4 linked regions of the Rattus norvegicus genome follow. The main gene of each other region encodes a partner of the protein of the gene in region 2 in a complex. Links are inferred from orthologs where the notes say so. Each region holds a gene or a part of one and is shown on either strand. Other genes may lie near its edges.

Region 1 (4,850 bases), on a different chromosome or scaffold from region 2:
AACACGCACACCCGGCTGGTATGTGTAGGTGGTGCAGTCCGCAGGGGCGAGCTCCCTCACGGCGGTCTCTGGCTAGACAATACTCTGGAAAGGAGGGAAAACGGCCCAGCCTTCGGAAGGGTCTTCTTCGGAGTGAAGTCACTTGCATTGAGGTCAGACAGTTCACAGAGTGGGAACCATCTGGTACGCCATCCCGCGTTCCCGTGGCACCACCCTGAACCCTAAAAATCACCTGGCCGAGTCCTCACCTGGAGGTGCACACTAGCAGGAGTAAGTCCGGACCGAAACACCGTCTGCTCGTGAACTCCCAGAAGTCTGGCCTAGAGAGAGCAACGGCGCTTCAATCTGGAACTACCCTAGTGTACCCTAGGAAACACCCACTCCCCCCTAATACTGGAGATTGAAGGCGGGACCACGGAATTGCCAGTCAAAAGCCCTCCGCTGAACCACACCCCCAGCTCCTCAAAGTGGAATTCTAGGCGGTTCCTTCACCAGTGAGCTACTTGTTCAGCTCTCTTTTTACTTTTTGAAACAATCTTACTAAGCAGCCGGACTGTCTTGACTGCCTGTAGCCCAGGCAGGTAGGCTAGACCAGATGGAGGTTGTCTTAACACATGAATAGGGTCTGGACTGTCACTTTTAAGAGTCCCCTACCTTCAGGCTGCAGTTTGCGGAGTGGGAGTCCCGGTGAGCCTAGGGCTCCTGCTGCAGCTGAACGAAAGTTGGGGGGTAACATCTCGGCTGAATCGGGGGTTACACCCCGGAGGTCCTTCTCACGGAACATCTTCCTCCAGGATGGGGAGCGGCTGAAGGACTTGGCACTGTCCTAATTGTTTGATAGGAACCCAAGGTGAGGGAGGAGGGCACAAGTTCTGACTCTACCCCTCTGCATTAATAGTGACCCTCACTAAGCTCAACATCCAGCCACATTTGGTTGGCAACACCAAGCCCCACCCCTTCATCTCGGATTTGTAAGTGCAATTGGAAACAAGACCTCATTGCCACGCCCACCTCATCCAGCCGTCTGTCTGTTCCTAGGGAGATGAGGTTACTGAATTCTTTCTCCAGCAGTTGCCGAGCCTGGAAAGAAAAGGGGGAAGAGGTTAGTTGGAGCATACAGGTGGGGATACCCGGCATGTTTGCTGACCAGCCAAATCTCACTTGTGCATTCTGTGTAGGTATTTGTAGAAGCAAGGCCAGGTCGGAGTAGTCGAAGGTTTCATCCAGAGCCAACAGGGCTCCGTGCACCCCACTCTCGGTGAGATTCGTAGCAAACTCCTTCAGGCCAAGACCAGACACCCAACCCATGACCCGTTCGTTGGACCACACCATCACATCTGGGGAAGAAAGGGACTCTTAACTGTGCACCTCCCAGTGGCCAGCCCTGCCAAATTAACCTAACTTATTTCCTTTCCTAGCTAGGTCTCTATGCCGCTGCATCCGTCATCTATGAAACTGGACAGCTAGGCCCGTACTCCCATTACCCTCCCTAGCCACGCCCCACACTGGTTCTACTCATTATTTCTGGGAACAGCGCCTCCTAGAGAACAGGTTCATAGTCTCTCTTGGCCCAGCCCCTATTTCCGGCTCCACCCCTTGTGTGATAGCGCGCCCCAGTGGCCATGTCCAGCCACACATAACTCCACACTCATTTTATTGTCTGGCCACGCCCCCATAGTGGTTCCCCGGTTTCTAGTAGCTCTTGGTTTCTCTGGCTTTCCGCCGTTCAGTCTGCCCCTCCACATATCTCCCACAGGACCTCACCTCTGATTTGGGTCTGGCTTTCTTCCCTCCTTCGCTCCAGATCCTTCCGGTCATAGTTGAGCCGTTTCAAGCACATGATACCATAGTGCAGACTAACCCTGAGCAGTTGGAGAAACTGAGTCACCTAGAAGCCTTCCCGAGGCCACTGTTGTTGCCCTTACAGAACTAACTCTCTCCCTCCCTCCCTTCTCCCCCTCCCTCCCTTCCTCTGTCCCGTGTGTGTGTGTGTGTGTGTGTGTGTGTGTGTGTGTGAGCGTGCATGCGTGCGTGCACATGTGTGACCTATACTAGGCAGAAGCACGAAGTCCCAGTGCCGTACTGGTTACTTGTGTTCTCTTGCTTGTGTTTCTCTCTCTGTCTCCCTTTCTCTCTCCAAGATCTTTTAACACTTCCTGGGCTTGAACTCACTCTGTAGCCAGGCTAACATCAAACTTGTAGTCCTCCAGCCTCCCCAGTAGCAGGTCACCAGTTATCAATTTTTCTATGGACCATCATCTTTGGTTCAAGGAACACCAAGCGAAAATTTAATGGAACTTCCCATTAGCCAAAGTTTCTCTAAAGGGCTATGACTTCTTCCCCTTGGGCTGTTCCCATTGGCCAGGCAGCCCCCACCTGTGGAAGCTGTCCACCATCTTGAGTTGGCCTCGCAGTTCTTTCTTGTTCAGATGGTCCAACATCCGAGCATCAACTAGCGACTCCATGAAGTAGCTTCGGTACTGGGGCAGCCCAAGGCTGGGCAGCCAGTCGTTGCCCACCCACTCGTGGTTCATGTCGCCATATGCCAGGATCTGGGGCCATGGGCAGGTGAGGGAGGGGGTCAGACCTTCTTGTCCCTTCCCATATGCATAGGGAAAGGATAAAGTCCAGCCACCCCCCATCCCAAACTAGTTCTCTTCCCACCACAGAACAGTTTGGCTCTACAACTGGGACCACTGGACCAGCTGAGGGTCTCATGTAGCCCAGGCTAGCTTCAAACTTTTGGTGAAGCTGAGGATGACACTAGAGTCCCCTACCTCCACCCTTTTGAGTGCTGGGTTACAGATGTGTACCCCATACTCCAGCTTGGTGCTGGAACTCACTAGGCAAGGGCTCCATCAACTGGCCCCCAGCCCTGCAGGTCTGCATCCATTCAGCCCAAACATGACTAGACCCGGAAAGTCAGGACTTCAGCGTGGCTCTCCTGCCACCCACAGACATCACTGTTGCAATACCCGGAAAATACTAGTTCAAGCAATTCAGTTTAGGATAAGGCTATGAGACAAGCCCAAAGTCTTTTGCAGCTTTAGGGCAAGGAAACAGATCAGAGTTCAACCGGGTGTCTCCACCCCTGGCAAGTTCCAGCTGGGCACCTTGTGTCTCTCTTCTCCAGGCCACGATGTACTGTGTTCTCCCCGCCTCTCACTTGCTTGGCCCACCTCAAGGCCACCATAACTAGCACAGCTAACCCTTGTGCAGAGCTCCTGAACAGTGAGGGCAGCCCTCTTCCCCATCCCCTCAATGCAAACCCCTCCCATACCGGGCAGTTCCTTCCAGCTGCAGCAATCCCACAAACCCCAGCTTCCGAGCAACCCACAACCATGGAATAGCCAGGCTGGAGGCAGACACTGAGGGGCCCACTTTGTCCCCCATCGAGCCACTATGAACACAAGAACTATGAACAGCTGAGCTCCACGCTGCAGCCTTCCCCTCAGGGCAGGGACTTAGAATGTTCAGACGAGGGGTGGGGCGCAGAGAAACAGAAAGACCATGCAGCGTGCACAACCTGCTCATGCGTCCAACCCGCCCTGCACCCCTACCTGCTCCCAGCTGATCTCCTTGGTCTCCTGACCCGTTAGTGGGAAGAGGGGGAGAGAAGGGGTGGGTTAAGGGGACAGGCAGAGGAGAACAGAAGGGACAGACGATGCACTAACAGACAGACTCCTCCCAGCCCCCACACCCAGTAGGAATAGTGCCACCCCCAGGGCTACCAGCAGGAGGCACTCACGGGTTTTGTAGCTGCAGTCAGAGACTCCATCTCCTCGTGTGTCATCCACACGTTTCCTGTGGGCTGAAGGGCGCAGGGTGTTAAGGAATGGGTGATGACACAGAATACAGATGGTCTCCTAATCGCCCCACTCTAGCTCATCGGCTTATGCTCATTCTGTTTGGGGTTCCAGAGGAAACCCTTTGAAACCATCCAGCAAGATGACTCAGCAGGTAAAGGTGCTTGCCCCTAAGCCTAATGACCCGAGTTCTATCCTTCATGGTGAAAGTAGACTGCTAGTCTTCACTCATGCTCTGTGCTGGACACCAACACACACACACACACACACACACACACACACACACACACACACAGAGAGAGAGAGAGAGAGAGAGAGAGAGATGAGAGAGAGATCATTTATTTCATAAATATATAAATGTATAAATATAAATGTATTCATAAAAGTTAAATTTAAAGATTTCAGGGATGGAGAGAAGACTCAGTAGTTAAGAACATGTGTGGCACAAGCCTTTAATCCCAGCACTTGGGAGGCAGAGGCAGGAGGGTCAGCCTGGTCTATACAGTGGGTTCCAGAACAGCCTGGTCTACTCAGAGAAATTGTCTCAGGGAAACCAGGCACTCTCCCATTCACTCATGCAGGTAAAACATCCATACACATAATAAATCTAAAAAGGAGTTTGGGGTTTTTTTTGGGGGGGGGCTGGGCCTTTGATGTCACCTCCCTGGTGTCATACACAGTGAGGACTGAGAAGGTGACAGCAGACATGGCAAAGGGAGAGGTATACCAGCAGGAAGAGGTTTGCCACTTGTGCTGGGCAAACCTGGGAGCCTGGCATGGTGGAGCAGGCCTGTAATCCCAGCACTGGGGAGGCAGAGGCAGGACTGCACAAGCAAGTCAGTCAGAGCTACACAGGGAGAGTGTCTCGAAGTAAAGAGACTGTGGATTCACTGGGCATTGGCATTGCCTAGAGTTCTCCAGGAGCTAAGGGTCTGCATTCACAAGGCTTAGGGGGAATCCCTAGGACACACACAATGACAATGACATTGTGACCCCCCCATTCTTGTGGTCTGTGGTAAGAGCTCACAATAGGTTCCAGGCCAG
Region 2 (5,760 bases):
GAGGAGGGAGCCTCAACTGAGAAAATGCCTCCGTAAGATTCAGCTATAAGGCATTTTTTTTTTTTTTTTTTTTTTTTTCCGGAGCTGGACCAAACCCAGGGCCTTGCGCTTCCTAGGCAAGCGCTCTACCACTGAGCTAAATCCCCAACCCCCATAAGGCATTTTCTTAATTAGTGATCAATGTAGGAGGGGCCAGCCCATTGTGGGTGGGGGCCATCCCTGTAGTCCTGGGTTCTATAAGAAAGCAGGCTGAGTAAACCATGGGGAGCAAGCCAGTAAGGAGCACCCCTCTACAGTCTCTGCATTAGTTCTTGCCCTGCATGAGTTCTTGCCCTCACTGCTTTAGATAATGAACATTTATATGGAAATGTGAAAGAAATAAACCCTTTCCTCCCTCAAAAATCTTTTTGTCACAGCAATAATAACCCTAACTAACATAAACCAGGACAGCTACAGTGCACAATTCCAACCACAAAAGGAATCCTTAAGTACTACAGAGATGATAAAAGGAACTGAGTCGTACTCCAGTTCCTATAGTCCTAGGAGTAACTTGAGATGCACACTTACATAGAATACCATCTGTCTTTGCTGTCTTGTCTGGTGGCCCAAACACTACACAAGACCACCTCTAGCTTCTCATTTCACACCAATACCCCCTTTTCCACTAACAAAAAGACTTTCCTCTAGGAACCTTAGGATTCTGGATGCTTTTAAAATACCATAGACAATACTGTCTCAAATATCAAAAAAAAAAACAAAAAAACTTAATTATCTTCAAAGAAAAAAGATATATCCCAAATTTATTTGTGTGTGTGTGTGTGTGTGTGTTACATATACACATATTTGTGGATGATGCTAGAGAATGAACCCAAGTTTCACACATAAGGTAACTCTAGTCCTATGCCTTCATACACACCTTTTTTTCCAGCTCTGTAGCTTTGGCCTCAGATTTTTCCACCTTCGTTTTATCAATCATTTGATCTGAAAAGAAAAAGCAATTTGATCTGAAAACAATGCAGTAAGTCAAGTCTCAGTGCCGAAGTTGATGTCTCTGCTCCTAAGCCTCAAACACACTCAAGGGCACTCTTCTGTCACTTGGGTTGCTGACGCCACTCCTAATGGTTTGCACTAGCACTAGACCAAGAAATGTGAGTTTCAGTTAAGTACAATTTACAATTTCCTCTAAGTTTTATTTATATAGTTGTTTCATATTTTGTGTGTATTTAGTGTCTATGTATGTATATGTCACATGTGTGCAAGTCAGATGACAACTATCAAAAGTGGTTCTTCCTTGCCACCATACAGAATCTGGGGCACAAACTCAGGTCCTCAGGCCCACATGCAGGCACATCTACTTATTGCCACCATGCTGGCCCTTAGCCTAGTATTTCAAAGTGCAAGGTAAAGAAATCACACGAAGGATGCCTTTGTGTGACATTTGTGCTTCTAAGACCAGCAGAGTCAGAAAATACCTGAAGTCCCTGTAAAAAAAAAAAAAAAAAAAAAAAAAAAAGGCAAGATTTTCACTGTGCTGAAATAAACTTAGGATGAAACAATGCCAGCAAAGAGGGTGTACTGAGAAAGAACTGAAATAGAGACTAGAAGGATTTCTCTGAAAGTTTCACTGAACGATGAAAACAAAAGGTCCAAGTGCTGAGTGTTCTGAGGAGCTGGGTAGAAAAGCACGCTTACCAACCAACCCCTCAATATCAATCTGCAGGTGCCGGCACTTGAAGTCAGGATCAGTTCCATTTTTGTGTAGAACTATCTGAGAAACACATTCTTCAATCAATTTATAGTACTGCGGCCTATGAAAGAAACAAAACAAATTTATCAAACAGAAATAAAAAATGTATCTTCCAGAAGTATTCTGGATCAAGAAGAGTTAGTGGCTTTGACAATAAAAAGAATTATGGAAGGGGTTGGGGATTTAGCTCAGTGGTAGAGCGCTTGCCTAGCAAGCGCAAAGCCCTGGGTTCGGTCCTCAGCTCCGGAAAAAAGAAAAAAAGAATTATGGATAAACACTCCAGGAAGAGCTTTGATGAAGCTAACTGAAGCCTTACTGCTGTGTTAGCAAATTCTCCTCTCTAGATCAGCTTTCATTCTCTCCTTCAGATACCCAAAAGCTCTTACAGGTTGGGGGCTGCAGTTCAGTGGTAAAACATGTACTGAGCATGTGGAACATGCTGAGTTCAACCTCAAGCACATAAATGCTAACATGCATGTGCATACACACATGCACTCACTTAATTTCTTTTTCTTTGCGTGTATCTGTGTACATGTATAAAAGTGCCATGGAGGTCACAAGTGTCACACAGAATTACAGGAGGTTTGTGTGGCTAATGTGAGGGCTGGGAACTGGTGGGTCCTGTGCAAGAGCAGCATGCATGCTTAGTTAACCACTGAGCCGTCTCTCCATCCGCCAGTACACAGCTTCCCAACACCCAGGCTGGACTCCAGCCTTATGATCCTTGTCATGCAACGGCCGATCTCTACTTCCAAGAAAGCAGAAACAACTTTAAGTTTCCATCTCTTTGTTGTCATCCTCAGCCCACTTACCCACTTCCTCCTAAGGACATTTTACTTTATACACAATTACCTATCCAAAGAGGTACCTTTCAACTGAATTAAAGCAGTTGGTATGTTAATCAAGCTGTTGATAATTTCCTTTATATCTGTGACTAATGAATCTAATCTACAGTCTTTTTTCATTTCTTTTTACCTTTCTAGAACAATCTTTGAATTTAAGGATGCTGCTTTTCCACTTAGATGCAACATTATCAGCTTACCTAGCTTCATAATCATTTCGGACCAACAGGAGATGCTGCAAGATAGACAGGAAGTGTGGTTCTGCCTTGGAATCTTTCACTGTGTTTAAAATAATCTGGAAAACTTCACCAAAGTCAGTAGAAAAAAGGACAGGCTAAGGAAATCAAGTAATTAGAAGATGTTTGACAGGTTTCTTGTCAACCAACAGAGGGTATCAAGATACCACTTCTACTACAACAGCTGTTCCTAAAACATCACTAGTTCATTCAACCAAGAGTGGCATTGTCCACAAACACAGGATCCTAGTATACATACTGAAGAAACTAAAAATAGAACCACATCAAAGTCACTTGTGGCAGGTAGGCAACTGTGTAATAGTATTATTGCTTGTCAGTCCAGAGGGCTCTGCATACCACCCCACAGCTCAGGAAGATATCGTGCTGTAGGAGGTGTACAGAGATTTGGATGGACACTTTGGGACGTGAGAGCAATATGGCTAAACATGTTACGTTAGCACTTGAGTGACAGGCTGATGGATGCCTTGATGTTAAAGAAATCACCTTTCCTAGCTTTCCTGGTCTATGCTGAAGTAAATAAAGCCAACAGCAATATGTAGACATAGCTTTATGTATTATATATATATATATATATATATATATATATATATATACACACATATATATATACACACATATATATATATATATATATATATATTTTTTTTTTTTTTTTTTTTTTTTTTTTTTTTTTTTTTTTTTGAGACAGACTCTCACTGTGTAGGCTTAGCTGGCCTGGCCTGGAGTTCACTATGCAGACCAGGCTGGCTTCAAACTCAAAAGAGATCCTAAGTGCTAGGAGACGAATTCAAGTCATGTGCCACCATTCCCAGTCTTAGGCCTTATTCTAAGTGATCACTCTCCAGACTATTCCATACATTCAGTCTGTAAGTAAATGTATCATCTGTCCTGAACTCAGTCATCAGTCATAAAAGGATATTCCATCTCCATGCGGATATCATCCAGTCGTCCCTTCAGATCGAAGAAATCTTCATCCCCTTGTTCATCAAACACATTGAGCTGTACTCGCATATCATCATTGTCAATCTCTCGAAGCTCCTGCCAATGACAGCAAGTAGTGAGAGAACCCAAATCCAAGCCTTTCAACCTGGTGTTTAAGTTGAAAACCAGAATCATCTCAGAGATGACCAGGGCTGGAAGAGCAGGAGGGAAGTGCAGCCTTCCTAAGGAAAGGTTCCATCTTACCTGCAACACTTGATGCAGTCCCAAGCGCATCAGCTCACTTCGGATGTGAACCCGGAAGTCAAGTTCCTCAGCGGGAGTGATGAGAGCATTGATCAGCTGTAGGCATCCCACCTGAAACAAGCAAATTCAGCTGCTACGTCAGCCGTCAACCTTATGGATAAGGAGTCCCCTATTTATATACACTCTGGAGCTCCATAAAAGATACAGAATAAAAACTACAGAGAGGAAGTTCATACTAGAGCAACAAAACCTCGCTGAACACAACTCTGGAGAATTTAGGCTTTTAAATGAATCCAAGGACATAACATGTTACTACAGAACCTCCATTTTCCTAAGGTACTAATAAGTAGCTGGTTTATCCCACCAACATCACAAGGAGAAAGGTAGTTCTCTGTTTTTTAGAGAAAAAAATCATTTTCCTTTAGGAAAAACACCTAAAATATAAAAAGTATAGCTGAGAACATTACATATTTTAATAAAGACTTAAAATTTGTATTATTTTCAACTTTATGTGCATTAGTGTGTGAGTGTGTGTGTCTGTGTCTGTGTGTGTGTATGCACACATGCATGCCAGTGCTCAAAGAGGCCAGAGGTATCAAATACCCCTGGAGCTGAGCTACAGGCAGCTGTGAGCTGTCTGACATGGGTGCTGGAAACTCAACTTGAAGAGGAGTATATGCTCTTAACTGATGAGCCAACTCTCCAGCCTCCATATATTCTATTACAAAGCCAAATGACACTAACCTGGTGGTGTAGACCTGTGTGCCTTGGAAGGGAGGAAGATCTCCAAGACTAGCCTGGGCAATTGGGAGGTTAGGACAAGAGGATCAGATATGTCTAGCCTGGACTATATAATGAGTTTGAGGCCAGTCCAGGCTATAAAACAAAATTAAAATATCCTGAAATAAAAAATTAAAAAGGGTTCTCCAGTGCCTTGCTCAGTGGTAGTTCAGTAATAGGGGAGTTACCCAGCTTAAGCAAAGCCCTAGGTTCAATTTCCCATACCATAGAAAAATGAAGGGTAAATGAACTCTGGTCTTTCCATTTTGAATTCTACTCTATTCTACTGTTGGAGAGGTTTTAGGGTACATACGTACTTTGAGTGCAATAGACGTCCCACTTTTTAACCCATCCAGCAGTGGCTGGAAGCGTTCAACCTCTTCCATTTCAGCTCTCTCTGTCATAGCCTCTAAAACTCGTTCATTCCTGCCAAGAAAACAGAAAGAACTGGCTAGGTGCACTAACACAGGCATGGGGAAATGTGACAGGGAACAAACCAATTAGGAAACAAGACACCACCAGTGCCTCAGATTTCTCAAATTAGTTTCTTAACCCCAACTGATACCAGAAACTGATAAATGCAACTGACTCTCTTTGGAGAGAATAATTTCCTAAACTCCATCCCTAGACTTCTACTCACGAATACAAAATTAAAGTCTTTGAGCTGTGAAATACAAGTTATCTGACTTGCGGTTGGGGATTTAGCTCAGTGGTAGAGCGCTTGCCTAGCAAGCACAAGGCCCTGGGTTCGGTCCTCAGCTCCGAAAACAAACAAACAAACAAACAAACAAACAAACAAGTTATCTGACTTTTTAAGGACCATTTGATATTAACAGTACCATCAATTTCTAATGTGTATTACATGTGGTCCAATTCTAAATCTACCAACAGAAACGCACAAATGTAACAGAAAATATGTATAGACATGTTTATTATGACATCATTTGGT
Region 3 (5,760 bases), on a different chromosome or scaffold from region 2:
ACCCACAGATGCTCCAGTCCAGCCTCACAGACTATTTCAACTAGACCTGCACTTTCCAAGTTGCAAATGGTCCCACAGATCCCAGACAACCATCAAACAGCTGAGCTCTACAACAACATGACCAGCATCCCAATTTTCTTAGGCTCCCCAAAGATGACATCACCCCTACCAGCAGGAAGTCTAAAGAACACAATACCCTAACTCCTGCTCTACCATCACCCCTCCCTAGTTCTTCATTTTTAATCAAACAAAAGGGAGGAATGTTAGCTTACAGGCAATTCTATTAGGCTCCTCCCAGAGACCTACCAACAGCTTACATCATCTTCTGAGGCCATCACCTGCTACAGCCACCACGCCACTCCACCGCATGTGTGTTCTCAGTGGCCTCTCTTTCCCGCCCCCCTCTTTATACCCTCATGGCTCACTCACTGCCTCTTCCTTTTCCCAAGTTCTCATTCCTCTCTCTTTCCCCCAATAAACCCCCTTTATTCCAGATGTATTGCATGCTGTAATTACTCAGGGGCACACCTTGCCATGGGAACCATGGTACCCCCTCACTACATTATATTTCCTAACTCCAAATCATTCAACAAAAGTACAACTTGGAAGGTAAGCAATGCAGGCCTTTAAAAGACTAACCAGGCTCTCCATAAACACAGTCCTCTCACAGAACAACATACGGAAGCCAGGCATGTTCTTCTTGAGCACTACTGCTGAACACCTTATCTCTATAAAGCCAGGCTTGGTGGTGCAATTCTGTAACCCCAGGATTCAAGAGGCTGAGGCAGGACTGCCACAAATTCCACACTAGTCTGGGCTACAAGACAAGTATAAGGTCAGCCTGGGCTACATAGCAATCAGTAGAAAGAAAGGGGGGCTGGAAAGATGGCTCCATGGCTGACAGTGCTTCCCTCTCTTCCAGAGAGCTGGAGTTCCATTCCCAGCAACATTAAAGGTGGTTCCCAACTTCTGTAACCCCAGTAAGTGCAAGCTGTAAAGGTGTGAGGATGTGAATGATAATGTAATTTGTAGGGGTCTAAGAAAGTAATTTAAAGTGTACATGGGTTGGGGATTTAGCTCAGCGGTAGAGTGCTTGTTTATCAAGCGCAAGGCCCTGGGTTCAGTCCTGAGCTCCAAAAAAAAAAAGTGAAAAAAAGTGTACAGATGCAAATTAAAAAGTTCCGAGGAGGGGGCTGGAGAGATGGCTCAGCAGTTAAGAGCACCCGACTGCTCTTCCAGAGGTCCTGAGTTCAATTCCCAGCAACCACATGGTGGCTCACAACCATCTGTAAAGAGATCCGATGCCCTCTTCTGGTGTGTCTGAAGACAGCTACAGTGTACTCACATGAATAAAATAAATCTTTAAAAAAAAAAAGTTCCTAGGATATGAACACTTAACTAAGTTGGAGAGTCTATTAAAGTGATTTAAAGTGTGTAGATGTAATCTGGAAAGATATGAGGAAGTGATTTAAGGCATGTGAAAAGTGAGAAACGTTTCAGATTTCTTTCCTGCTCACTATGCTATTGTTATATTAAGACTTCAAAACTTCAAAGTTGTAACATTAAACAATGGAGCTCTGATAAACTATTGATCTAGCCCTGATAGAGCACTGACTACTCTAATAATAGGCACAGGCTCAAAATTTTTACTTTCTTTTGGTCTTCTAAATATACATTTAAACGTGTTTCTCACTGTGCTGAAAATATCTCTGGCTTACAGACACTGCTTTTTCTACAATGGGGACTTCACTGCAGATTACAAATAGCAGTAATGCCAATTATCTACAACTTTTACCTTTTTGTGAACTTTGTAAAATTCACATAAGCTTTAAGAAATTGACACTCAGATCCACCTGTCACAGGTCAAACAGGCTCCAAATTAAGTATTCCCGATAATCAACAGTTTCAGTGTTCCTGCCTATTACTGCCTATCTCTTTTCTCTTTTTTTTCCGGAGCTGGGGACCGAACCCAGGGCCTTGCGCTTGCTAGGCAAGTGCTCTACCACTGAGCTAAATCCCCAACCCCTACTGCCTATCTCTTGAGAGTAGACTCTCTCCTTCCCTGTTCTTAGACTCCCTTCACCATCATACCCACCCAACTACCAGGACCGCAGGCCTGGAAGTTTTAGGTGTAAACCCTAGATGAAGATTTTCCCCTAAGCTCCTCATCTTTACATTCTGTTCTTAGTCTGTATCTGTTCCCACCGATTTCCAATCAAGGGAAGAATGTAAACTGCTCCAAACATGCCAGCCTCAGGTGGTCCTTTACAATCAGCAAGCCCTGAACTTTCTGAGAGCCGATATAAACTGTCTGACTTGAGCACTTGCTTTGGCCCAGCATTCCAGACTGCTCACAGCACCCTAACCTCCCTTACCTCCCAGCCTTAACCAGGCATCCCAGTGTCCCTGAGCCCTTAATTTCAGCTAAGAAGTAGCTACATTGCCCCTATCACAAACGAAAGGCTGGAATGTCAGGGCCAAATTGTGACAGTCGGATAAAAGCCCTCGCTCCTCAGGAAACCATTTCCTTATTACTGGCAGAAGAGACAAACGGCTACCTTTGGTACTTATTAGCATAACCAAGTGCATCCTGGCCTCCAGGCTCTGTTCCACATTTCAGAGTCCATGCTGGTGTCCTAGCTCTCCTCACCCACTTCTTACCCTAAACTTCTCCAGCTCAGAAGCCCTACCCACCCCATCCCACCCCACTACACTCACACAGTATACATTCACAGACAAATTTTTAAGGGAAAAAATAATAAAAGGAGAAGAGCCTCTGTATCCTCATGCTCCAAACAACTGACTACACAGAGACATGGGTTGCAGAGCCCTTACCTGTGTGAGGGCGGAACACTCCACATACTTGACAGCCTTCAGATCCCGCGCCAGCTTTTCAGCAGTCTCTGGAGTAATAGGCTTCTGTTTGTTCTTGGCAAGTTTCTCAATAGTAGAAGGGTCATCTCTGAGATCAATTTGGGTCCCGACAAGCAAGAAAGGAGTCTTTGGACAGTGGTGAGTTATCTCAGGCACCCACTAAAAACAAGGTTTTAAAATGCTGTTAATCTACAAGCCACTGACACTATAAAAGGGTAACAGAAATTCTGTGCAGGTTTGAAGGAGGCAGGACCTGACTTACCTTTTCTTTCACATTTTCAAATGAGGATGGAGAGACCACTGAGAAACATACTAGAAAAACATCTGTCTGTGGATAACTTAACGGTCGTAGTCTGTCATAATCCTCTTGCCCTAAAGAAAAAGTTAAAGAGGTCAGCAACTGAAATCTGGTATCCTTGTGGCATTAAAATTATAGTCAAGGCCTACAGCTATAGCTCTTTAGTACATAGAGTGATAACCTAGCATGCATACAGCCCTGGATTCAATCCCCATACCACATTAAAACCAGGCATGGTTGGCACAAGCCTATAATCTCAGCACTAGTGAGACGCAGGCAGGAAGGTTAAGTGTAACCATGAGATCATATATCAAAAAAAAAAAAAAAAAAAAAAAAAAAATTAAAGACGAGCATAGTGGAGCTAGCAAGATCACTCAGTGGTAAGGATGGTGGCTGCCATGCCTAACAACCTGAACTCAGTCTCCAGGGAACAGATGGTGAAAGGAAAAAAACCAACTCTCCCAAATTTAGCTTCTTGACCTCCACATATGTATACTATGGCATGTGCTTCCACATAAATAAATAAATGTAATTTAAAAGGAAAAAGAATATGGAGATATGGGCGATGCCCATAAACCCAGCACACAGGAAGGAGAGGCAGGAGATCACCACAAGTCTGAGGTCAGCCTGGTCCACAAAGACAGCTCTGAGACAGCCAAAACTACATAGTAAGGTTCTTGTTTCAAAGAAGAAGGGGGGAGGAAAACTACAGCTCTGACAACACTTCGAGTGTGTAGCTCTTAGCATATGAGCCATTAGTGACAAAGCTACGGCTTAGTAACATACTGTTTGGACAACACTTTCTGTGCTAATTCTATTTATATATACCAATAACTTACAAAGGAAAACTGACATATTTTCTTTTTACTTTTTTTAGTTCTATAACTCAGTAATAATATAACAACAATAAACTATTGCCACAGGTGTGGTTTAAAAATATCATACCTACTTCTGGCTACATAATGATCACAGCAAGCCCACTAATAAGTACTGTACTGAAGGCATCCATAATAATGCCCAAGCCAAGCGCAAGGCTTGGTCCACACGTGCATGTTAAAGCCACTCTGTAACTGGAATGGCCTAGAAAAAATGAACTTGGAAGAATGAAAGGTATGTAAGAAGAATAAAATACTTAGAAATTAACCAAAGATAAGAGTCACAAAATAAAAACAGCGAAAAACTGCTGAACATAACAAGCCCCAAGAAATGGAAAGACAGCCTATGCTCATATGCAGGACGACACTGGGTGAATGACTAAATATAAAAACAAATACATACATACATACACACACACACACACACACACACACACACACACACACACACACACACACACCACACAGGTCGGTAGGATGTCTTAAAGGGAAAAAAGAACTATGATCTGGATGAGAGAATAACTAGAAAGCAAAGAGTTAACCAAATCACAAACAAAGCCAATTTATTTAAAAAAAAAAAAAAAAAAGCGGAGATGGGCTGGAGAGATGGTTCAGTGGTTAAGAGCACTGACTGCTCTTCCAGGGGTCCTGAGTTCAATTCCCAGCAACCACATGGTGGCTCACAACCATCTGTAATAGAATCTGATGCCCTCTTCCTGATGTGTCTGAAGACAGTGACAGTGTATCCACATACATAAAAAATAAATAAAATCTTTAAAAAATAAATAAAAATTTAAAAAAAAACTTTTGAAGAATGATTTTTAAATGGGTATATGCAATTGGCCAGGAATAGTGGCACATGCCTTTAATGCCACTACTTGAGAAGTAGAAGCAAGTAGATCTGTGAGTTCAAGGCCAGCCTGATCCACATAAAGAGTTCCAAGATAGCAAGGCCACAGTGAGACCCTGGTGGGTTTTTTTGTTTTCTTTTGTTTAAGAGACTACAGAGAAAAATGAAGATGTTTACCCAGTGTTAAAAACAAATTGAAAATAATTTAAATAGCTGATAGAAAAGGCAGTGCTCTCAGCTAAATGTGCTTTATGTATAGTAAGGCATTCTCAACATCTACATTACACAGACAAAATATACTCCGTAAATTTTCTAATGAAAGAACCATCCTAATAAATAAACATCAAGTTTACGGCCTTGGTCATATTAACGCAACTAAGATTATTTCGTTTCATGGTCTTATATAGCCCAGCCTGGCTTAAATTTGCTATAAGGTCTTGAGTTTCTGATCTTCCTGCTTCTGCCCAGGACTGCTGTGATTACAGACAGAAGAAATTTAAGAAGTAATGCTGGGGATTAAATCAGGGGCCTCATCATACAAACTAAATCCCATCCCTAGTTCCCTACTGTGAGCTCTGAACCAGGAGGAAGGGAACAGTCAGCAGACACGTCTTCTGAGCGCATCTCCTTAGTCTCTTTCCAGCCTCCAAACCCACCAGAGTTTACCTAAGGACTCTTGACTGTGCTGTATCTTCTTTCATCCACACAGGATACTCCAAACTCCTGTTAGCCATCCAGTGTCAAGAGAAGGGAGAGAGGAGAGGGAAGGAGAGGCAGGCACATAAGACAGGCAGGCAGGCAGGTTTTTTTGAGACAGGATGCTCTCTACAGCCCTGACTGTAGGAACTCTCTCTGTAGACCAG
Region 4 (6,515 bases), on a different chromosome or scaffold from region 2:
TATACTACATGTGTCTCGTGTCCTTGGAGGTCAGAAGAGGGCATCAGAGCCCTGGACTGTAGCTACACAATTGTGAGCTGCTGTGTGGGTGCTGGGAAGAGAACTCAGTCATGGCTGTTATGCACTAAGCAATCTCTCCAGCCCTTCAGCTGATGCATTTATTTTCCCAAGCTTAGCATCTTATATATCTGGACACAGCTAAAACTTAAGATTTGTATGTTTTAAAGTTATCTTGTTTTATGTGATTTGTTTATGAAACAAATCACACCTCAGACACCCACAGCATTAAATTATAACTCACTAGGCTCACACTGCAGAACTGTTGTGTGCTAACTTTGCCAAATGATGCAGTTATACAAGTTAATGCATAAATGTATTTGTCAGTGAGATGCCAGTGTAAATTTCAATCTCAAAGGTTCTCTATGAAATATTAAATTTTTTACGCCATATTGAGATCAGAATTTTTATTACCAAGTCTAGAAACTGGTACCAGAGTTTGTGGGCCAAGTATATAAACTGCATGTAGTTTCCTACTTTTCAAATTAAAATCTCATTCTTTGGAAGTATTTTAATAAATGGGACATGTACTCTAAAACTCTAGATTATTTCTCTCTTCTTCCGAAATGTTCCTGGCAGAAAAATAAAACAATGTGATTGTTTCCTTTTTATGATGAGCAGGGAACGGATTTCAAATCTAAGGAAACATTAAAGGAGAGCTCTACAAGACTAATTAGACACAAAAATAACTAAGTGACCAGAACAGTTTAACAACCACATATACCCCAGCATCCTAACATGACGGCTTAAGAGGCAACTTTCCATTGTTAAGATTACTAAAGCTGTGGCAGTTTACAGCAGTCAGGGGGAGGAGTGAGGCGCGTACGCACCACTCTGAAACAGACGAGATGGTAGCAGTGCCAGCCTTCAGTGCTGAGCAGCTCACAAACCCCCTTAAGAGTCTCTAGGAACGAATCTTTACTTAAACCATTAAAGAAACCCAAGTTCTAACGTGGCATGCAACTTTCAGGCACAAAAAACCAGCTTGCTTACCTCTCCCAGCTCTGCCAACAGCAACGTTGTATGTTGGCTCCCCACCTTGACTCTTTGTCCGGATGTCCATTGTGCAGTCCGAGTCAACGTATAGGCTATCTCTGATCACAGAGCACTTCTTTCCTCCAAGAGTCAAACCATTGGTAAAGAAACCTTCCCGGTCTTTTCCTATAATCACATCTATTTCTGCTGGCTGGCCACCCAAAACAAAGAAGAAAAAAATTACAGTTAATCAGAATTTGATACAACAAACTGTGTGCTGATGTAAATATCTTGATTGTTCTTGTTTTTATCATTACACGGTTACATGATTTACACATTAGTTTGCTTTTGCAGTGAGGTCTGCTAACTAAAAGCCAGAGTATAGCAACGGTACAAAGAGTCTCCCTAAACAGTTGGCAGTTGACACCGGCTACAAACTGAAATTGAGTTATTTATAAACTATATCAAGTCAGGTGCTACTTGAAGGTGCTTATGTAATTGTAAAGATTCAGCTATAAGCTCTTACAAAAGCTTGTCTGTCACATTCAGCCACATTAGTCATGTTGCATCAAAGTTAAAGTTGAGTGAAAGTCTACCCAGATAAACCTGCTCACTTCTCTGTTTCGAGCAGATTGAAATATCCCTGGCAGTGTGAGCCTCAAACACCACCTCCATCACTGTGGGGCATTTCCAAGTTCGTTTTTCCCTCCTATTTTTCTAGCCACTTTTTTCTCTCCAACTTGCCTTGCCCTTCCATTCAATAATCAGCTTTTCCTTCTGGACAAATGCAGTGTGGAGTCTGTCTACAGCACTGCAGTAACCAATAGTAAAATCAGAGAGAAAATGGAGGGGCATTGGTAAGGAAAGTGAGTTAGCCGGCAGAATAGAAAAGAGAATACGTTCATTCTAACATTCCATGAATAAGAAGGAAGGCGTCGCCCCCATCAGAACTGCAGAGTCATAGCAGGCCCCAGCCATTTCCAAGCATACTCCCGCAATCTTCTTAAGCCAGACAGCGGGAACTCACACACAAAGGCAAGACTGCAGAAAAAAAAAGTTAAATCACCAAATGTCAATTCGCTGTAGGAATTGTGATCTCTCACATGGGGACAGGAGATCTTAAAGCACTCCTATCATGGACTGAATCCACACTGATATATTAAACCATGTTAAGTAGTAAAATGCTGAGCACCTGTGATATGGGACTTGATTTTTCCTAGGTGATGGGAAGGGAGTGGGAGTGTGGAACTAAGAAATTAAGGGAATGGTCTTGTACTTGATACTGGTGCCAAAATTTTAAAGAAGAGCATTGCATAGAAACGAGCATAACAATAAGCAGTGCTGGAGGCTGATTGACGAATATACTCCAAACGTGTGGCAACCGAGTCAAATGCCATCAAGTCACATGAAGATGAGACAACGTGAAGCAGATATCGGTATTAGTTCTTTTACTACCATCACTAAAGAGGGAGTGACTTGAGAAGTGTCACCCCCCCCCAGCGACTCCCCAGATTTTTTTTTTAAATCACCCTTAAACCATCCCCTTTTTAGAGCTATGTTGCGTAACTGGGGATAACAGTATATCGATGAATCTCTATAGGTGGAGAAGAGAAATCAATGGCAGTTCGCCATCTTGGAGGAAAAAAAAAACTATAGAGCCACAGCTGAAGTAGATTCACGATTCCACCTACGTGGTCCGCGTACCTTTCTCTCCAGCCTAGGAGGCCTGGACACCCGCAAGCCTACGCAAAGTCACTCCATTAATTCCCGGGACCCGGCCACCGCCGCCACCCACATCCCGCGCACACTGCCGAGCCAGGGCCAGCCTGCTGCCTAGGACCTCCCGCCCACACCCGGGGACCTGCACTGCAGCCCGCCGGGCTCCCCGAACGCTGAGGGGCCTCCCGGGGTGACGTCCCCTCCTCCACCCTGGCAGCCGCAAGCCGGGGCGCCGCCGGGGCGAAGAGTCCGGCCGCCCCGCCCCCGCGCGGCCTCGGGCAGCATCCCCAGGCTCAGCGGCTGGCACGGGGGCCCCCCCGGCTGCATGCCCTTCCTCAGCCGGCGGTACCCTATCCTTCAGCCCCGGCCTCATCCCCTTCCTCGCGGGCGGGCGTCCCCTTCCTCAGGCCCGCCGCACACCTGCCGGCTCGGCGCCCCCGGGCCTCACCGTGATGCTCTGGAAGACGCCCCCGGCCGTGGCTGCCCAGACGTATTTGGCGTCGCAGTAGCCGACAATGGCGGCCTCCTGGCAGCAGCCATCGCACATCAGGTTATCCACGTAGCTCTGCCAACCGGCCATCTTCGAGCCCTTCGCACTGCAGCGGGGACGGCAGGAGCAGAGGCGCAGCAGCAGCGGCGGCGGCGGCGGCGGTGGAGGCGGGGCGGGGGCGGGGAGGAGGCGGCTCTGCGCAGGCACCGACCGCCCCTCTCCGGGGAACTGCGGCGGGCGGGGACAGGACCCGCAGCGGGGAGCGCCGGGCGGCCGCGGCCGCGGGGCTCAGGGGCCAGCGGCTGAGCGACGCTTGCAGCGGGGCTGGCGACGGCCGACTCACACCGCAGCTCCCTCGGCTCTCCGCGGCCAGCGGGACGTGTACGCGCGTGCGTGCGATCCTTCCGCAGCGCAGCCGGCGAGGGTCCCGGGGAGGGCGGGAGAGCTGAGGCGGGGGCGCGGAGGGATACCGCCGGGGACAATCACGGCCCACACGTGCGGCAGGCGAGCGGGAGCAGGGCTGGGGCGCGGCGGCGGAGGCTTCACCGCAGGCTATGAGGCGAGGCAGCTTGAGTGGGCGCCGTAGGGTGCCAGAGCTCTGGGTGCACGGCGGCCGCGGTGCTCACTCCTCAAGTGCCAGCCCTGGACGCGGTATTTATTGACAGCACCGGTGTCGGGTGGCAGGGTTGCCCTGGTGACGGGATGCAGACGAGGGTTTACTCTTTGTAGTGGGAGCGGCCAGTGCGGGTTGCCCACACTTGGGGAGGTGTCTCTTGAAAGACCTTGGCCAGCTGCGCCTCGCACGCTCCTGAAATCAGAGCAGTGGCAACGGAGCAGCGCAGCTCTTTGTTGCCTCCTTTGAGTACGAGGAACTCCAGGTTCAGTGGAGCTTTTGCCCTGAACGCAGTGCTGCTAATCACACATGGGGCTCAACGGTCCAGAAATTCTAACTAAAAAAAGCAAAGCAAAGCAAAACAAAAAAACCAGACCCTATGCGTACTTGGTAACTGGAAAAGTTACTGTGCGTTAAATACATCCACGAAATACAAAGAATAGTCGAGCTAGAAAAGATTCATTGAACTAGACCAGTGGTTCTCAAACTTCCTAATGCTGAGCGTGACCCCTTAACACAGTTACCTATGTTGTGCTAACCCCCCAACCATAAATTATTTTGTTGCTATTTCATAACTGTAAATTTGCTAGTTATGAATCATAATGTAAATATCTGATATGTGCCCCCAAAGGGTTTGAGGCCCACAGGTTGAGACCCACTGTACTAAATGGTGAAAATAATTCAGAATCTACATCCGAGGAAGACTTGTATATGACAGGGTGGGAAATGGTTTAAGAGTCTCCGAACATTCTCCTACATCTTTATTAACTTTATGTGCTGGGTCTAGACTCAGCATCAGATGTTCCCCAACGATGACCAGTTTGAGGTGACAAACCCGACCTGCTTATTAAGGGAAAGAAAGCTCCAGTAGATTGCAAACTATCATCAAGTTTAAAGTTGTGGAGCACACTGACAATTTTATAATAGCATCACTGAACTTTTATTTATTATTTATTTATTGGGCTTTAAAAAAAATAATGTCTTAGAGTTCTGATCGCTATGAAGAGACACTGTGACCACAGCAACTCTTATAAAAGAAAGCATTTAATTGGGGCCTGGCTTACAGTTCCAGAGGTTTAGTCCATTCTCATCATGCCTGGAAGTATGCAGTCTGGCATGATATGGAGAAATAGCTGAGAGTTCTATGTCTGGATCCCAAAGTAGCAGGAAGAGAGCATCACTGGTTTTGAATTGGACTTTGGAAACCTCAAAGCCCACCCACAGTACCACACTTCCTCCAACAAGGCCACACCTACTAATCCTTCCCAAGTAGTGTCACTCCCTGATGACTATCCATTCAAATATATGAGCCTTTGGGGGCCATTCTCATTCAAGCCACCTCGAGTAGGACCAACAACAGAGTAGTCAACTGTCAAGTAGAGATTATTTGTCCTCATGTTTGGAAGATAGAGAATTCTCCTTATAAAGGAATCCATCCACTTCTGCCATTGTGTCCTCACCTGATTTAATCTCCCTCACTCTTTCCTATTTCTTATTCTGCCTTTTTTGCCACAACCATTTTAATTCTTACTTCTTAACTTTTATTATCACCTTAAAAACTAAAGATGGGGGGAGAAATGGTTCAGAGGTTAGGACTGGATACTCCTCTACAGGTACCAGGTTCAATTATCAGCACCCACGTGGCAGCTCACAACTGTAACTCCAGTTCCAGGGGATCTGTGGCACCAAGCATGCAGGTAGTATACATATATATGCATGCAAGTAAGATACCAAGATACACAAAATAAATCTTTTTTAAGCAATTAAAGATGGGGCAGGGTGTGGTGTCACATATCTTTAATCCCAGCTCTAGAAAGGCAGGATCAGGAGGAACTCTTAAATTTGAGGTTATGTCTTAGGGTTTCTATTCCTGTACAAACATCATAACCAAGAAGCAAGTTGGGGAGGAAAAGGTTTATTCAGCTTACACTTCCACATTGCTGTTCATCACCAAAGGAAGTCAGGACTGGAACTCAAGCAGATCAGGAAGCAGGAGCTGATGCAGAGGCCATGGAGAGATGTTACTTACTGGCTTGCTTCCCCTGGCTTGCTCAGCTTTCTTATAGAACCCAAGACCACCAGCCCAGGGATGGCACCACCCACAATTGGCCCCCCTACCCTTGATCACTAATTGAGAAAATGCCCTACAGCTGGATCTCATGGAGGCATTTCTTTAAGGGAGTCTCTGTGTGATAACTCCAGCTTGTGTCAAGTTGACACACAAAACCAGCCAGTACAGGCCATGTCTACATATAGTGTTATTGGTTAGCCAGGGCTACACAGTGAAACCTGTTACCTGATGACAGCCAATGAAATAGATATGCTTATTTTGTGAAAATTTATAAAATGATAATGTTTAGAATTCATCTCCTTTATGCATTCTATAATCCAGTAAATTTAAACATTGAATAAGATAATAGAAAAGATACTAATTTGCAGAATTATAGAAACTATGTTTTTTGTAGGACTGTGGTAGGGGTGGTGGCCACTTGAGGTAGTGATTCCCTGGAGGCAGGAAGGTAACTCTGTTTGACATAACTCAGTAGCTGGTGTTGGTTCAAATTTTGAGAGTCTATTCCGGAGTAGTTTATTTTAGGTGTAGTTACAACAGGTGAAATTTCTCCTAACTCATTTTCATGTGCACAATAAAGCTTGAGACAT

The links.
Region 1: the proteins of Diaph1 (region 2) and Ppfia3 are in contact, whole or in part, in a crystal structure (PDB 4UWX), measured with the Mus musculus proteins. The link is inferred for Rattus norvegicus from reciprocal best matches to the Homo sapiens genes DIAPH1 and PPFIA3. Residues at the interface, in NP_031884.1 of Mus musculus: Lys252, Ser255, Ala256, Ile259, Gln307, Asn310, Ala311, Thr314, Pro315, Ala316, Glu317, Arg322, Gln352, Cys354, Val355, Glu358, Gln359, Glu362; in NP_084017.2 of Mus musculus: Pro719, Arg720, Arg723, Leu724, Arg726, Met727, Ala728, Ala730, Leu731.
Region 3: the proteins of Diaph1 (region 2) and Cdc42 are in contact, whole or in part, in a crystal structure (PDB 3EG5), measured with the Mus musculus proteins. The link is inferred for Rattus norvegicus from reciprocal best matches to the Homo sapiens genes DIAPH1 and CDC42. Residues at the interface, in NP_031884.1 of Mus musculus: Met90, Asp93, Met94, Asn95, Leu96, Lys100, Pro103, Leu104, Lys107, Ile111, Met115, Gln118, Tyr119, Thr122, Ser133, Tyr139, Ser158, Arg160, Val161, Ser162, Leu163, Pro167, Val168, Val171, Arg210, Lys213, Ala214, Asn217, Asn218; in NP_033991.1 of Mus musculus: Val36, Phe37, Gln61, Glu62, Asp63, Tyr64, Asp65, Arg66, Leu67, Pro69, Leu70, Pro73, Glu95, Lys96, Pro99, Glu100, His103, His104.
Region 4: the proteins of Diaph1 (region 2) and Pfn2 are in contact, whole or in part, in a crystal structure (PDB 2V8F), measured with the Mus musculus proteins. The link is inferred for Rattus norvegicus from reciprocal best matches to the Homo sapiens genes DIAPH1 and PFN2. Residues at the interface, in NP_031884.1 of Mus musculus: Ile635, Pro636, Pro637, Pro638, Pro639, Pro640, Leu641; in NP_062283.1 of Mus musculus: Ala2, Gly3, Trp4, Ser6, Tyr7, Asn10, Ala28, Tyr30, Trp32, Arg108, Met131, Tyr134, Leu135, Ser138, Phe140.

Annotation. Positions count from the first base shown.
Region 1 is NC_086019.1:104,954,414-104,959,263, forward strand, and holds part of Ppfia3 (liprin-alpha-3), read right to left. Parts: intron 3,812-4,850; coding exon 3,749-3,811; intron 3,588-3,748; coding exon 3,561-3,587; intron 2,553-3,560; coding exon 2,377-2,552; intron 1,863-2,376; coding exon 1,765-1,862; intron 1,338-1,764; coding exon 1,162-1,337; intron 1,081-1,161; coding exon 1,012-1,080; intron 827-1,011; coding exon 655-826; intron 321-654; coding exon 262-320; 3' UTR 249-261; intron 85-248; 3' UTR 1-84. UniProt on the Homo sapiens protein: May regulate the disassembly of focal adhesions. May localize receptor-like tyrosine phosphatases type 2A at specific sites on the plasma membrane, possibly regulating their interaction with the extracellular environment and their association with substrates.
Region 2 is NC_086036.1:29,977,886-29,983,645, forward strand, and holds part of Diaph1 (protein diaphanous homolog 1), read right to left. Parts: intron 5,238-5,760; coding exon 5,129-5,237; intron 4,143-5,128; coding exon 4,032-4,142; intron 3,885-4,031; coding exon 3,766-3,884; intron 2,907-3,765; coding exon 2,790-2,906; exon of another isoform or gene 2,731-2,789; intron 1,809-2,730; coding exon 1,693-1,808; intron 982-1,692; coding exon 917-981; intron 1-916. UniProt on the Homo sapiens protein: Actin nucleation and elongation factor required for the assembly of F-actin structures, such as actin cables and stress fibers. Binds to the barbed end of the actin filament and slows down actin polymerization and depolymerization.
Region 3 is NC_086023.1:154,848,104-154,853,863, forward strand, and holds part of Cdc42 (cell division control protein 42 homolog), read right to left. Parts: intron 3,247-5,760; coding exon 3,137-3,246; intron 3,034-3,136; coding exon 2,836-3,033; intron 1-2,835. UniProt on the Homo sapiens protein: Plasma membrane-associated small GTPase which cycles between an active GTP-bound and an inactive GDP-bound state. In active state binds to a variety of effector proteins to regulate cellular responses. Involved in epithelial cell polarization processes.
Region 4 is NC_086020.1:144,219,476-144,225,990, forward strand, and holds the start of Pfn2 (profilin-2), read right to left. Parts: upstream 3,462-6,515; 5' UTR 3,332-3,461; coding exon 3,200-3,331; intron 1,244-3,199; coding exon 1,051-1,243; intron 1-1,050. UniProt on the Homo sapiens protein: Binds to actin and affects the structure of the cytoskeleton. At high concentrations, profilin prevents the polymerization of actin, whereas it enhances it at low concentrations. By binding to PIP2, it inhibits the formation of IP3 and DG.